Tribolium castaneum: one gene and its partner. The protein of the gene in region 2 purifies or fractionates together with the protein of the main gene of each other region. This does not show direct contact. Links are inferred from orthologs where the notes say so. Each region holds a gene or a part of one and is shown on either strand. Other genes may lie near its edges.

What was found. Proteins that work in one complex are often made in the same cells at the same time.
Region 1: the proteins of ZnT63C (region 2) and Xxylt purify together in Homo sapiens (co-immunoprecipitation; 3 studies listed by BioGRID and IntAct, with this or other methods). This does not show direct contact. The link is inferred for Tribolium castaneum from reciprocal best matches to the Homo sapiens genes SLC30A1 and XXYLT1.

What each region holds. Positions count from the first base shown.
Region 1 is NC_087398.1:11,171,758-11,179,519, reverse strand, and holds Xxylt (xyloside xylosyltransferase 1), read right to left. Parts: upstream 3,985-7,762; 5' UTR 3,692-3,984; coding exon 3,256-3,691; intron 3,208-3,255; coding exon 3,066-3,207; intron 2,969-3,065; coding exon 2,491-2,968; 3' UTR 2,278-2,490; downstream 1-2,277. Other genes in the region: calcyphosin-like protein, read left to right, coding at 1,738-1,947, 1,993-2,094; fl(2)d-associated complex component, read left to right, coding at 4,436-5,616. UniProt on the Homo sapiens protein: Alpha-1,3-xylosyltransferase, which elongates the O-linked xylose-glucose disaccharide attached to EGF-like repeats in the extracellular domain of target proteins by catalyzing the addition of the second xylose.
Region 2 is NC_087402.1:2,132,015-2,140,222, reverse strand, and holds ZnT63C (proton-coupled zinc antiporter SLC30A1), read right to left. Parts: upstream 5,368-8,208; 5' UTR 4,894-5,367; intron 3,201-4,893; exon of another isoform or gene 3,169-3,200; intron 3,110-3,168; 5' UTR 3,104-3,109; coding exon 2,927-3,103; intron 2,879-2,926; coding exon 2,656-2,878; intron 2,610-2,655; coding exon 2,117-2,609; intron 2,072-2,116; coding exon 1,852-2,071; intron 1,783-1,851; coding exon 1,762-1,782; intron 1,502-1,761; coding exon 1,283-1,501; 3' UTR 1,056-1,282; coding exon of another isoform or gene 1,027-1,055; 3' UTR 668-1,026; downstream 1-667. Other genes in the region: radial spoke head 14 homolog, read left to right, coding at 30-140, 186-272; mitochondrial inner membrane protease subunit 1, read left to right, coding at 5,654-5,755, 5,805-6,155; UDP-glycosyltransferase UGT5, read left to right, coding at 7,675-7,862, 7,906-8,208. UniProt on the Homo sapiens protein: Zinc ion:proton antiporter that could function at the plasma membrane mediating zinc efflux from cells against its electrochemical gradient protecting them from intracellular zinc accumulation and toxicity.

The DNA of each region.
Region 1 (7,762 bases), on a different chromosome or scaffold from region 2:
ATTAATAAATATTTTTTTGTTGCTTTATTTATTGGATTTTTTTTATTATATCAGTTATACTCACTTTTACCCCAAATGTCTATTACTTCTTAATTTGAAAAAATATAGCGGGTCTTTATAAACAGATAACAAACCTGCACACAGGCGAAAACACCATTTGTGTAAGAAAAAACAACTTTTTGATGGCCACTTTATTTTTCTTTATTAAAATGTCATCACTATATTTTTGTATTTATATTTTTTTCATTTTTTGTATTTTGACCTAATTATGTTACTGTATTTTAAACATTAAACTATTGAGTTTTAAAAAGTCGGTTACAAATACTATTATTATGTGATAATTTTAATTTATAATTAGAGTAGGCTTTACTCTTTATAATATGTTTTTAAATTATATGAATAAACCTCTGATAATGATAATTAATCAAGCAGAAGTATCTACTAATAACATACCTAATCGTTAATTATAATACATTTTCCCCCCTGTTTGCACTAGTTTATCAATCACAAGGAAAAAACGCCTACTCTTATTATAAACTCAAATGATCGCATGATCTTTAAAACGAAATAAAAATTGGCTTGTGATGAAACGACATCCCATTGTAAAAAAACATGTTACCTATAATTTTTTTCATTAGAAATATAACTTGAACGTAATTAAAAAATTAAAAACCATTTCGTTTCTGTAGAAGTAAAAATTTTACGTGAAACGGCGAGCGTAAAACTCATCATGTTAAATTATTTTGCAATTATTGTCAATAAATCATACATGTTGTTACGGTCTTCAACTTTGTAACATTTTTAAAAATCGATTAATGTAGGTGTACACATAATAGTGACAATAAAAGCACTGTAAATAACAATTTTCTAAGTGCAAAGTAAAAAAGAGCTTAATAGACCCTTAAATAAAAAGCGTTTACCGTAAACATTATTTTTGTAGTTACCTATAGCTTTTAGATAATTATTTTGTGTTATCTTCAGAGGGTGGAAACAAGCATTTTCTTCACTGCAATATTTTTTACTTTTCAGTAACATCTTGGAATATTTATTATTATTAGATACTGCTTCCGTTAGATTAGACGCGACATTTTTTTACGAAAAATGACATTTATTAAATTTGATAATTCTTACTACACTAGTAAACCACTCACCAACCCATTTGGAAATTATGAAAAATATTTTTTTTATTTTACTGAATTATTTGTTACAAAAAATATTGTACCTAACTTATTTGGAATGTAATTTCCTACTCCCTTCGCTCATGCTGCAAACAATCAATTGCTCGTAATTACGTTACTTAGAGGTAAAATCTATTTCTGATTAATAAAATGTATTAATTATTTCACGTTGCACTATAATTTTTTCACTCGAGTGATAATTAAAAAACTAAAAGTATTTCAATTATTTGGGGAAGGTCGAAATTATAATTTTAAAATATCTCTTATTTTGTAAGGACTGTGGATGCATGCAAACGTGGTCTTCAACTTTGAAACATTCAAAAAAATCGATCGTTAAATTAATATTGATTGAAAAAGTTTCATAAATCATTTCATACGAAGTTAAAACATGAAACACCTTACTTTTCCAAATTATTCGCCAATGATTTGTCATTAAATCATCAATACACAAAGCTCCAAGACTCTTAAATTCAGTAAATAAGCGACCACATTTCGCGTAAACACTACTTAGATCAAGGACTTGTTGCTTGTGACCTAGTTTCTGAATATTTTATTCCAGCCCCCAATGTCTGAGTCACGCAAGAAAGTCGTTGAAGAAGCGTTCAAGAAAATGGACAAAACGGGAGACGGAGTGATCACAATAGACGATTTGAAAAATGTTTACAACGTCAAAGCCCATCCTCGATACATTTCAGGCGAAGAAACTGAGGAAAATATTCTGAAACGATTTCTAGCAAATTTTGAACAGGACGCCACCAAAGACGGACAGGTTGGTTAATGAAGATTGAACAAAAGTTTTAATTAATTTCTGTAGGTAACCCACGAAGAATTTTTTAATTATTATTCGGCCATCAGTGCCTCGATCGACAATGACGGCTATTTCGACCTAATGATGAGACAGGCTTACAAACTGTAATAATGAACCCAGTGCTTTGCAATTTTTGAATTTTTAAATTCACTATTTATAACTCACTGAATACGAAGTTTTATTACTCGAATGTTTCCTGTTGTATTCCTATATTGTAACCGATCTATAGATTTAAATACATGTATTTCGACTATCATGGGATTTTTTTTCAATTCTTAAGAAAACAAATCGAAAAATAAAAAACTGTTTATTTTTGAAAAATACTGTTTTACAAACAAGAAAATAAATGAGTACTTTCACAACCCAGTAATGCACTCGTACCTAATATACCGGGTCATACCACATGATTGTTTGATTGGCAATAACCAATGCTGCCAACTCAAATTTTCCCAAAACTACTAGTGGACGTGTAGAGATTCCACGAATAGATGACCAGTCTTTAATTTATTTTGGAATTTTCGTGTTGCAATTTCCATGTAAAATAACAGCGGGGTGTTGACACTTGAAATAAAAATCAAAAACATCACGGTAGCCATGCTCTCGCCACCAGACGCACAATTGGCGATTGAAACCACAATTTATGGTTTGAATCAAATCAGGATATTCAAACCCTATCAAAGTATAAAAATCCTGGTCACCCAAATGACCTCGAAATTTGTATTTGGACGTGAGATATTGCACAGTTTCATTCCTGATAATTTGGGAATATTCCTTTGATTTTCTTATTGCACTTAAATTAATCAAAACAACACCGGAATTATAGCCCTGGAAGCCACGAGGATGCTGCATATTGCTCGATATCGCCTTGGAATGATAATATTCTCCGAATGTTGAGTTCTTTTTCACTTTATAGGTTTGGAGGACGTGACGGTAGACTGGAGTCAGCTCGGGGGCCAAACCAAAAAGCGCAGTTGGCTTAAACCTATCAAACAGTTGAATTAAATTCCGATCAAAGTGATCTATGACTTCATGTCAGTCACAGGTCACTTTGACCAGAATAAGAAATTTCATAAACTCACTTGTCAAACTCCTCAAACACTAATCGAATATCCTTCTTAAAGTATAAATCACAGTCTAGTAGAAGGGCAGTTCGCTGGGAAGGTGGGGCTATCCGATACAGCCCCAAAGAAATATAGAAAAGTGCGTCGCTGTAGTAAGTACCTGAAGTCAAAACTAGTAATAGTGCAATTAAAAAGTAAGCCTTTTTACCCGGTTTTGAACTAAAATGAGGGGTCATAACGTCGACAATATCACTAATCGCTCTTGCACACGCTTCAACATCATAAAATTTATAAAATATTGCTTTATTCGAATGCGACACCACATCTGATATTTCACCTACTGCTAATTGCTTTGAGCTATTATCAACAATAATATGGAACTTTAAAGGAACAGAACTTATGTTTAAAATATTCTCCAACAAGTTGTGGAATTTATATCTTAACGGCGACCTTTGAGAGACTTTAGTAAATATCAACCAGACATTGTATTCTTTAGGCTTTTTGAATGGCAACAAAAATGTTGCATCGTTAGCAGAACCATCGGAATTGTAATGAAAAAACGTAAAATAAACAACTAATAACGCAGCAATTAAAATTCCAAGTTTTAACAAAAATCGTAGTTTAGGTTTTTTGGGGGCGTACATCGTTAATCATTTCTCTGTTTGTCGCAGGAATTGAACATTTTTTAAGTGTTACATTTCTATTTTTCCTTTACACAATAACACAACACAAACAACTGTCAACATAACCTCTCTTTTTGTTTGAAGACCACATTACGAATTTTGATTAATTTAATTAAATGTGCCTTTATCACTGATTGAACTAAAAATGCGAAAGCTGCTTAATGGAAAATTGGTCTTTAAACAGTGCTTTTAATATTTTTGCTCCTGTTGAAATGTTGGCCGCGACGCTACTGACTTTTTGTCAATAAATAAAAACAATTTGAAACAGACCAAAACTACGAAATTAATATCTAAATCATTCGCAAGTGGGGCATAATCAAAAATATATCATAATAAAGTGTACATTATCGACAGATTTTGAGTTTTAAAATTTTTGTTCCCGTAAAATTTCAGGTTGAGACCGCCACTGGTGTTGTCTGTTAAATGTCAAAAAACTATCACCTGTCAAGTGGCTACATTTTTGCAAAACAAATCGTTCCAGTTTTTTGGGAATTGGCTAAAATCTCGTTTGATTGATCAAAAAAGTGTCCATCGGGCGTTTGCAAGTCGAAATTGTGTTTTTTGGGCGCCATCTGTGCGGCATGATGTAAGGAGGCCCCTAGCCGATAAGCCCACAGTCTCCCATGCCGGCAACGTCAAACGTAAATATGGTAGCGTCAAGTGCTTCGCAATTTTTCCTCCTCACCTCGCGAACTCTGAGTGAAAATGTCTAAACAGGTCAAGCGCAAAATAACCGTGAACCTAACTCCGAAAAGCAAAGAAGTCTCGAAGCCTCGCCCCAGCGTGTTCGAGCGTCTGGGCACCAAAGCCAGCACCAGCCAGGACTTTTGCCACCACTGGGCCCAGAGCGGCACCTGCCCCTACGGAAAAGGCTGCAAGTACTCCTCCACCCACACCCTGATCAGCCCCTCGAAACGGGCGGCCAAGACCCAGCGCAAGGACAATGCAAATAAACGGGTCCATCCCGGAAACCCAGACGAGGATTGGGACCACTGGGACCCGGAGGAACTAGCCGACGCCGACCCTGATGATCTAGAAAAGCGCCGGCAAGAACTGCAAAGAGAACTCGAACTACAAATGAAAATGGAGAACAAAGCCCGGAAAAAGGACAAGAAAACCAAGAAGGAGAGCAGCCCCTCGACCGAAAGCTCGTCATCATCCTCGGACTCGTCCTCCTCAAGTGACGACTCCACCTCCAGCAGCTCCTCGTCCATAGAAACGCGTCGGAAGAAGAGTAAAAAAACCAAAACCAAACGCGACTCCTCCTCATCCTCATCGGAGCGCCCCCCGAAAAAGAAACCAAAAACGAAACGAACATCCTCAAAATCGTCACAACGCACCGACAAAACTAAAAAAACAACTAAAACAGCCCCAAAAGCCAAGTCTCCAACACCGCAACGCAGTCGGAAACAGTCGCAAACACCGCCCCCCAAAATCAAGCCGGGGCTCCCCCCAGCAAAGTCCCCAAGGCCCACGAGTCGGTCAAGCGACCGTAAGGAGAAACACCACACGCCCTCTCCCAAACCTAAAGAAAAGGAGAAGGAGAAAGAAAAAGAGAAAGAACGGGAAAAGGAGAAGGAACGGGAGAGGGAAAAGGAAAGAGAGCGGGAGCGGGAGAAGGAACGCGAACGCGAAAAGGAGAAGGAAAGGAACAAGAAAGATAGGGAGAAGGATGACCATAAAAAGAAAGAGTCAAGGTCGCCGAAACGGGACAGCAGGTCGACGAAAGACACTAAGAAGAGGGATACTCCAGATTCGTCGCATTCAAGGGATAAGAAGGGCTCACCAAGTCGGTCTAAAGGTAGCACGGGGAGCAGTCGAAGGGATCACAAGGGGACGCCGCCCAAGGAGGAGAGAAGTCGGGATAAAAAGGACGATAAGGATAGGTAAGAAACGAACTGTTTTTTAAACAATAAATCATAAAAGCGTAAGTTTTTTTAAAATTTTGTTAGAACTGTCTTCATTGAAGATACGCTTTTAGCAGATTCCCCCTTGCATTGCACTGTATATTGTATATGCGAGAAAGAAGTTCAAAGCAATGTTAGTTATGTATTATGTTTCTTTTAAATAGCACTTTCTATTTTTTGTTTATCACTGCTTTCGTATTCATCAAAAGACGAAAATCTTTCATTTAATGTTTCATTTTCACTTTATTTTCTTCAACTTTTACATATTATTATTTTTATTTTTAGAAATTCTAGCTTTGATTTAATGTTTCCAAAAATCTCACATTTAAATGTTTCTTTTGACCTTCCTGTGGAGTGTAATCTCAAATTCAAAGTTTCCTCTATCTTGAACTGCTCAGAGATTTTACACGTACAGAGTGTCTCAAAATTGGCGAATCCATAGTTCAGAGCATTGTAGAGAATCACTTCAGAAGTCTAAATTTAGAAGAAGAAAAAAAATATTCGGGGCTTTCCCACAAAGATGGGTTTGAAGATCACTCTTTAAATTGCGTTTTTTTTTTAAATGCAGGCTAAAAGTTTTAGTGTTGGTATTTATGGTACCTATGATTGTGGAAAATAATAAAATAAAACAATTTCCCAAAAGTTAGCTTTATTTTGGAGTAAATAAATCTAGAATGCTTCAATTTGATACTGCCAAATTTATTGAACCCTTACCTAAATCATTGTCTACTGAACTATCCACCTTTTCAGTTTTTTTTGAAATTCTAACAATTTTGAAGATGTTTTCACCTTTTAAATACATACTTGTTTGGCTAACATAATTTTTGATTTTATCTAAAAGTTTTGATGGATGGTATCACTGTTAACTTAAGTTTTTTTTAGTGTTGTTATAACTAGCTTAAAAATTGTGAAGTACATTTCCAATTAATAAGTTAAATGAAGCCGTTTCAGAATTTTATAGGTATACTTAGGTTTCACAGTTAGCTTAACTTTGCAATCATTAACTATTATTTATATTAACTAAATACTATGCTACTATTAATAATAAAAACAATTATGAAGTTCTTTACAATTAAAAAAAAACACAGAAAAAAACGTAAGCAAAAAAAAGTAAAAAATGAAGCTCTTGGGATTGGAAATAAAAATTAAAGAACAAAGGTCATAAACCTGACAGAATGCTCTGTGATTGGTAATCAGCATTTACGTTTTATGCAAAAAAATCTTTGTTTTCTAAAACATTTCTTTCATTAATATCTTCTTTCAATGTATTTTTTGTAATTTTAAATCTTTGAAAAAACTTTAAATTGTTAAGGCAGTATTTTTTCTAATTTTTTTCCAATTTTCTTATTCTGGTTTTTTACGAACAACGTGTTTTACTCAGTTTTGTTCGTTGATGTACCTAAGATATTTTTGAATTTTTTTCCATAATTAATGAGTACTGGCACAATAAAATTTTAGTGAAGTGTTATTTCACTTATTTCTTCGCAAAGTTTCACCTTCCTCACATATCAACTCGATCGGATTAAAGTTGCAATGATTGGGGAAAAAAAAACTTTCTTAAAAAAATGGAAATTTTTGAATTTCTTCTTTTTGGAAAATTTATTCGATGTTATTTCGTTTTTGCCGAATGGTGATTTGCAGTGTCCATTACAATTACATTATTTGTTGGAAGAATGGGGAGTAATTTTTCTAAAAACCATTTCAAAGTGTAACATATTTTTTTGGTAATCCACGTTTGCTTTATTTAGCAGAAATTTTATTTTAAAATTTTATTATAAAATAAAAAATAAACAACAACTACAATAACAGTAAATAATAATAAAACAATAACTGTTATTATTCCTTTAGTATTTCTACTCCTTTGCATGTGATTAATTTTTTGCTACACAGTGTCGAACTTTATGATAGTAATTTTTTTCTTAAACTTAATTTTTACGTCTATTTAACTTGAGTGATATTTTATCTGGTAACACAAACTTTTCTTCACAATTTATTGTCGCTGAAACAATTTTTAAATGATAAATATGAGTATTATATTTATCACCTACCTTTGAAATTACATACTTTTTAACAATTGATTCTGACTATTTGAAAAATGATGGGTAGACGTGAGAGAAATTATATA
Region 2 (8,208 bases):
TGAATTTTTTTTTCGAGTGATTTTTTCAGGATTTGTGGACTTGGAGCAAGTTATGTTCGTGTGTTGGTGGAATTCTTTTCGTTCTCTCCGACCTTATACTGGGTCTAGATCGGTTCAAATTCTCAGTTGATTATTCACAGGTAATTCAATTAACATTTATTTGTGGAAAATTAATTATTTTTTAGGCCCTTGTCATGTCCACCTATTATGCAGCTCAGCTAGGTATTGCGTTAAGTGTGGTAGATGCCAAATCTCAACGTAAAGTAGAATAAGTAGTCAATGTCTAGTATAAATACTACACTGGTTATGTTTGTGTTCAGGCTTTGACAGTCTTCCGTGCAAAACAATTTATTATGCAGAGGTTGGATTTTTTGTGCACGTAATAACAGCATGTAAATGAATTTCTGCCCGCTTGTGATAATTACGCGTTCGTAGCAAGACTTAAAAAAACAGTTTCCTATACTTTGTAATTCCAACCTACCCATATTTTTGCAAAAATTGGTTGGATTTAAATTAATTTAAAACGATTTCTGCCGTACTATTTTTTTGGGTTCAGAAAACCCTTGATTTTGTATCTCGTTTCGTCTCCTAAGCTATATTGTTTGACTGGGAAAAGAGGTCCGAAGATGAGTATTAGGTAAGGTAAAGCCCACCAAATAAAGCTCACTTTTTAGTCTTCCTTTAATTTTATTTCATCAATAGGCTGCACACAGTGTCTGTGATTTTAAATATAGTATAACCTTGTTTTTAGATGTTGAATAAAAAGTATGTAACATAATACTTAATATACAAAATAAAATATAAATATGTAACACTTGTACTTCACCCAACACGGTAGGTATACAAGTTTGCAAAATAGCCGAGAAAATTTCCTAATCTAGTTACGTGTAAACGATGAAGGGCCTTTTTAAGGTACTGGTTTTGACGTTTAGCTACCGCCCAATTAATACTTGATTTTATTCTGTCGCCCTTATTCATCACATGATACAATGTAAGTACGCGATCATTTTTTGAAATCTTGCTCTTTCACTCCGTCGTATTGAGATTGTTCTTATCTAGAAAAATATGCTTTACCAACTTGGCCATAGCCGAACTACAAGTAATAAAACTGAAAACAAAATTGTACTAAGACTAGATTCACACTGTAGTAGTAACAAAATCTGTGAAACTTACTGGTAGAGCATATTACAAAACTGAAGTGATGTTATTAACACGAAAACACGACTTTTTATACTTAATAAGGTAACTAGAGCCTAATTAAAATATGTGAAACATCAAGGTATCAGAAACTTGGTTCTGAACCAGGTCTTACTGAGTATTGCGAACACTGTGAACCCCTTGAGATACAATTGTAGTCTTTGGGCACTGGAGAATTACCTTTTTCCAAAAGCACTCCCGCCTCCATTTCGTTCATTTCCTGCGAATTGTTCGAACTGTTGCTGGAATTGCCGCGCTGACGGACCATATACGGGGTGTTATTGGGCGAGGGCGTCTCACGTCCCTAGAACACAACAACGGTTGGCTAACTGACGCCTGGAACCGCAAACGCACCCCACAAACAAGTCAACATGTAACAAGAAGTTAAAATACAATTAGTTGTTTGGGAGATGCTTCAGTGTTAGTGCCACCAATAAAACAAGTTAGGTAAAATAGTTTTATTAAAACAATCACAGATTTTTTCGCATTAATCACACAGTGGATCACAGCTGTTAGCAAAAACCAAAATTTAATACCCAAGCCGCATTATTTTTTTACTCTCACTTTCAAGAGGCTTCTCTCCAACTAAGAAAAAATCAATTATTTTACGGTTGTTTTAATGTGCGCACTTTCGATTTTTCGGTCGTAACTTACTTGTTTCGATGGACCGCAGCATGTGTTTTGCACGCAGTCGTCACTGTCTGTGGTTTTGGGACAATCAAGAACACAATCTTCGGTTTGGTCAGTATCTGTGATTTCCGGAGCTTGGTAATCAATGAACTCTGGTTGGATTGTCGTCGAGTGGATGCCTTCGTTGTGGAAGAATTCTTTGACTTTTTCCGCGATTTTCATGTATTCGGATAAATTACGGCACCTGGCATTTACATTAAGAGAGGGTTAATTAACCAGAAAACCTTACTTAATGTGGGCTGAAGCTATGATTCGGTCTCCGGCCAATTGCCAGACGTGAAACTCGTGCACTCCTACGACTCCGTCGACTTTCGCCAGTAACCTCCGCTGGATTGCGTCGACTTGAATATGCGTCGGGACAGTTTGTAGTAAAATTAAAGCCGAGTCTCGCAACAAAGGCCATACAGAGTTCATTATTAACAATACCAGCAGTATGCTCAAAGCTGGGTCGATGTAATTCCTGTATTTCCACGACGACAGCCAGAAGACAACTGCTGATATAATTACGATAACTGAGCCTAAAGCGTCGGACAACACGTGGAGGAAAACCCCCCTCATGTTCATCTGTCCGGGGCTTGAGTGCCCATGATGGGAGGATTTCTCCGGCGGAGGACTGGGATAACTTTCGTCGTTTTCGTTATCGTCAGTCATGGCTAGTTGTGTTAGGCGGTTTCGACTATGGGCCAAACGACCATGGGAATGACCATGGCTACTACCATGCTCTAAAACTCGCCCATAAATAACAACCAAACGAAATCGTCCCCATACCATGAAACAACAGCAGTCCTATACAATTAACAAACAGACCCAACGCACCCACAATGACCAACAATTGTGGGTCGTGAATCGCTTCGCTCTCGATGAACCGTTTGCAAGCTTCCACTGTAATGGAAAAACAAAGAGCTACGAGGAAGACGGCGTTGACTAAAGCACCAAGGACTTCAGCTCTGGCCCAACCGAACGTGTTTTTCGACCACTTCTTCGGAGACATCTGGAATTTTCCGAGTTGGGAAAATCGTACGCTTTTCATTTGCTTTACCTTGACTGAGACAAAGGCCACCATCAAGGCGGCCACGTCGCTTAGCATGTGGAAACTGTCCGCGACCAAAGCCATCGAATTTGTTATGTAACCTACGACTATTTCGACGAAGAAGAAGGACGTCGTCAGCCCCAACATCGAGAGCAGACGACACTTTTTTCCGGCCCATTTTGGCATTGTGATCTTTAACAACAAAAAAATTAAAAGCTATGCATTATGTAATCGCCGCTATTTTCACGAACCTTTTTCTGCCTTAATTGGTTGTTAAATGTGACTGATAACAGTTTGTTAACACAAAGGGAATTAGTCAAGTGTTCAAAGAATCCACGTATGAATAAAATATTTCAATTGTTTATTTGCCATTGTATTAGGCGTAATTAATTAGTTGAACTATCGCGTTTTTTGATAAATTTGAGTTATTCCAGACTTTAGTCATTTTTTCAGACAATGCCCATACAAAACAAACAATTTAATTCGGTGATAATGAATTTTTTTATTTAGTGTTTGCCCCGAATAAACAGTATTTGACGACAAAGGAATTGTGCAATTTTCACAATCTGGTTGAAACTGAAAACTACTTGTCAGTCGGTTGATTATTTTTTGGACATCAATAACCGCAAAACCATCACTGAACCGTCCGATAAAAGCACGACCACTTCCTTTAAACTTGTGTTTACTGACTTGTTTATGTCGTTAGTTTGAAACTAAACACACTCATTATTTTTCTAATCGACCGCTTAATCCGTTATTTACAAGTGTGGGCAATTAAATACTAGCACAAAACACTATATTTTGCGCTCAAAAATTTAGACGTGATTATGCTTTCACTTGAACTCGGCACATATTCTTTCCAGATTGTTGTTCCGATATGAAGAAAGCATAAAACCAAACAAAACGTTTAGAAAAATGAGATAATTGGGTGTTTGACCTGCTTATTGATTAAGTTTGCATCACGAAACGCTCGGATCTTTTGTCTCTGATTTCTACTTTGGAATACTTCGCTCCTGCACATAAATTTTACTATTAGATAAAATACTGATACGAATAGTTTGAGATAACGATAACATGAAATAGGTAGCAACTGACACAAGACAACCATATTTCTAGCATTGACCGCGTTGTATTTGCATTTAAATCGATTATAACAGCAAGGTGATTTAACAGATTCTACAACGTCGAACATCCTAGAAATCGAGTAATGTAATATTTAAATTCCTGCTGCATTATTCATACACTATACTGATAATTTTGCAAGGTTGCTGCAATATTTCTTATGTAAATACAATCGAAGTGATGAATTTTTACCACAAAAAAATTTTTCGCTACAAACGCAATTTACAACGTGGTTCACCTTCGAAAAAATCACTACGAAGTTCGTGCTATCAAAAATAATAATATTTAACAAAGGAATGTTCGCTTATTGCAAGATGAGTAATTCTTGGAATGAATTATTAAGTACCCACCACACTTCGGGTGGTAATAGTAAACAAAGGAGAAAGTTACATTTAAAGATTACAACGCTTTATGCAAAAACTTTCTTTGAGGAAATATTATCTAATAAAAAGTCCTCACTTCTAATAACTACAAGCAATTAAATCATTTCCAATCACGTACAAATTCTTGCTGAAGGCTCATTATAACCGGTTAAGTTGTGGTCATAAATCACCTGCGGTTAATCCGTACTTTTTTAGAGATTTTCGTGATGACACGGCGTTTTCAAATTTGAAACAGTTCAGGAAACTGGGGGCAAATGCAAGTTTAGTGACATTAGGAATAACTGTACAAAAATAAATGCGGCTGTTGGTTCCAGTAATAAATTGTGTTGTTGGGGGTGCAGTAGTTTATTAGTCATTGTTTCTTGGCTTTGGAGTTTACGAAATGTTTACAATCGATAGCAAAGTGGGTTATTGATAAGCTTTTTGTACGTAACTGTTAACAAAGCAGTACCTACACAGAAAAATTCTCACCTGTTTTTTGTTAAAACTGTCTCACTTGTGTCACCATATTACTGAAATAAGAAGCATGGGTCAGTTTTTGTAGATTTTTACAGTCTCCTGTGTAAGCACTTGTAAACACGATATCACAGCATATTTGCCTAAACTTGGAGGGTTTTTGTTAAAACGAAATAAGACATTAATTAGACGCCTAACTGAAAACACTGTAGTGGTTAATGGAAAAGCTGAGCTTCTTGTTAATTATTTAATACATAAGCGTACGTCATACAATTTGACAGAAGGAAGGACACTTCACTACCATAGAATCACCACAACTGAAGAACTGACAGACAATAGACCACTGTAACATTTCAGCCAATGAACGGACGAGTTTCTAATGACGTCAAGAGAAAAATCGTCAACACAAACATAAATAAGCAACAAATAAACAAAAAAAATTCACAAAACGGTAATTTTTTTGTCCTAGACACGAAAAAGCCACGAGGCAGTCGATAATCGCCTTGTAGAATTTTTTAATTATTTTTATCGCGCTATCTAGCACACTTTTATGTCATTGATAAGCGTCTTGTGGTGGGGACAATAGGCGCCAATGCAATTTTAAATTAATTAGAGAAAAATTACATTACTTTTTACTCTTTAAATTATCATTACGATTCAAAACTGCTATTTTGATTACTTTTTTAATTTTAATATTGTTAGAGGGAGTGGAGAGACCTCTCGAGTGGCCAAGTGTCAAATGTGACATAACCCCCATAACCCCAAAAAAATCGCTATGCGGAAGCTTTTTTGGAAAACGCTGGGTTCGGTGGGCTTTGTAATTCAATATGCCTGTGTGGCACACTGCACTTTCGAATATCTAGGCGATTTTGTTCTGGTAACAAAGTTAAAAAAATTATCGTTGTTTAACGAATCCACAATTTTAGTGTTCAGGGCCTTCAATGGAGCCAACGATTTACTCCGATGATATTTTACTAACTGAACACGTCAGTGCTAGGCTGAATCGAATAGATAGAGGAAATATTGTCATAGCTAAATGTCCTTCCAACCCTAAGCAAAATATCTGTAAGAGAGTGGTTGGTTTACCGGGGGATAAAATTAGGCTTGGTTTTAATAATTACGAAATCGTGCCTAGAGGTCACGTGTGGTTGGAGGGCGATAATTCGGGTAATTCTTCCGATTCTAGGAACTATGGGCCAGTGCCCCAAGGGCTCATCCGCAGTAGGGCCCTGTGTCGAGTCTGGCCCTTGAAGGACATTAAATTGTTAACCAACTAATTAACCGGACTTTTTATCCCAATAGCCAATAATGATAATAGAAAACTGTGATTTGTTGATTTGTAAATTTTATAAATATAAATTAACAAAAATGTGGGCTGTTTTATTTTGTTTTTCTATTATTTTATTTTGAAATCGTCCGTAAAGTAGTACTTTTCCGGACTCTTCTAATCTTAGATTGACTAAAAAATAGAATACAATGTGAGCACACCGTAGTAATGGTTGCATAACACTCTATACAATTATAAAAAAATATTCGTGGTTGAAAGAGACAACTTGAGTGTCCTGTTAAATAAAAAACTACAGCACCTTACAAAATGCAAATATGAGAAACACAAAACACTACATTGTATGTGCAGCTGTATAAAAATCCGTTTGTACCAGACAATTAATTATTGTTTTATCAAACACTTTACTATTCCAGATAGTACCTAATTGTTATATGGCAGATAACTTTAATCTTCGTTTAATAAAGTGATTTATCATGTATTTATTTTAGTGAGGGATAAATTAGCAAAATTTTCTATACAAAACGCAGTTTTTGCAAAATAAAAATTTTCATCTTTTGTTTGGTCTATGTTGGTTTCAAGTGTTTCAAATGAGTTAATAATAAAAGCACATGACCAAGACAGTCGCAGAAATAATAAAATGTTTATTACGCAACCGACATTCAAAACAATACAAAATTTATTGAATTTGTGTTGGTCTTTTATTATTTTATTACCGCTGTGATTTATTTTAATTGAGTTTGTTAATTTTCTTTATAGACTTTGAATCGCTGCAGCAGCACTTACATAATATTATTACTTCAGTTTGTGGCAGAGCAGTATTTAAAAACTCATAGAAAAGTATGTGCTACATTTTTTTTTGTTATAGTTAGTTGAAGATTTTAGGCGGTAAGTAAAACACGCTAATAAAAAATTGTTTGAAGTTAGTTTCGATTAGTGCACCATTTAAAATTGTTTACAATTGCAATAAAAATTCTGCCTTTTCATTCTCATAATTAATCACAAGTCGAGCATTATCTAGAAGGAGAAGTTGCCAATGCATTAAACTATATTGAAATATTGAAATTAGGTCTCGTTCAATATCTGGGTCAAAGATTATTACTTAATGTAGTACAATGATTATCTTTGAAAATTTTTGTCGTTTGGTACATTCAGAAGACTCATGGCTTTTATCAATCTACAAACATGATAGTCACTCGAACATCCAAAACTAAAAGCTTTTGTAAGCGCAGTCTTTAATTTCCGTGCAGTTGGTCATAATTTTTCATAATTGAAAGTTAATTAGTGATCTCACGAGTACTCACTACACGATAATTAGTTAATTGTGTTAGTATAGAAGCTATATTTTTTGGTAGACTCTCTACAAATCGTTTGTGCTGTGTCATCTTTAAAATAATAGGAGAAACTAAGTGCCCCAACACGCAACAAGCCAATTACTCGCCAACATCTTATATAACGATCAAAGCAGAGGATCACCTAGTTATCACAGTGAGATTTGCAATAAATTTACAATGCGTTCGGTATTTTTTATTGTTATTTCGACTTTCGCAATCGGACAAACTGCCAACATTCTCGGAATTTTCCCCATGCCTGGCAAAAGCCACTTCGTTATGTTTGAACGCCTGTTAATAGGCCTTGCAGAAAAAGGCCACAATGTTGATATTGCCACCCATTTTCCGACAAAGGATCCACCTGCCAGGTAAAAACAATTTTTTCCCTATCACACTTATTAAAAATTGTAGGTATAATCAGCTAAGTCTAGTCGGAAGTCTGCCGATTTTCGTCAATAATTTATCCCTCAATGCATTTGACGGCTTCACAAACTTCCACATGATTCACTTCATGACCAAAATTTGTGGCGTTGATGTTTGTGCAGCGACTCTAAACACGCCAGTTTTGCGCGACTTAAAGAAAACCAAAAAAAAGTACGATCTTGTGGTTACTGAAATTTTCGGCTCGGATTGTATGCTGGGCTTTGGTCACTATTTTAAAGCCCCAACTGTCTCTCTAATAAGTAGTATAAGTTTGCCATGGGCCGGGGACAG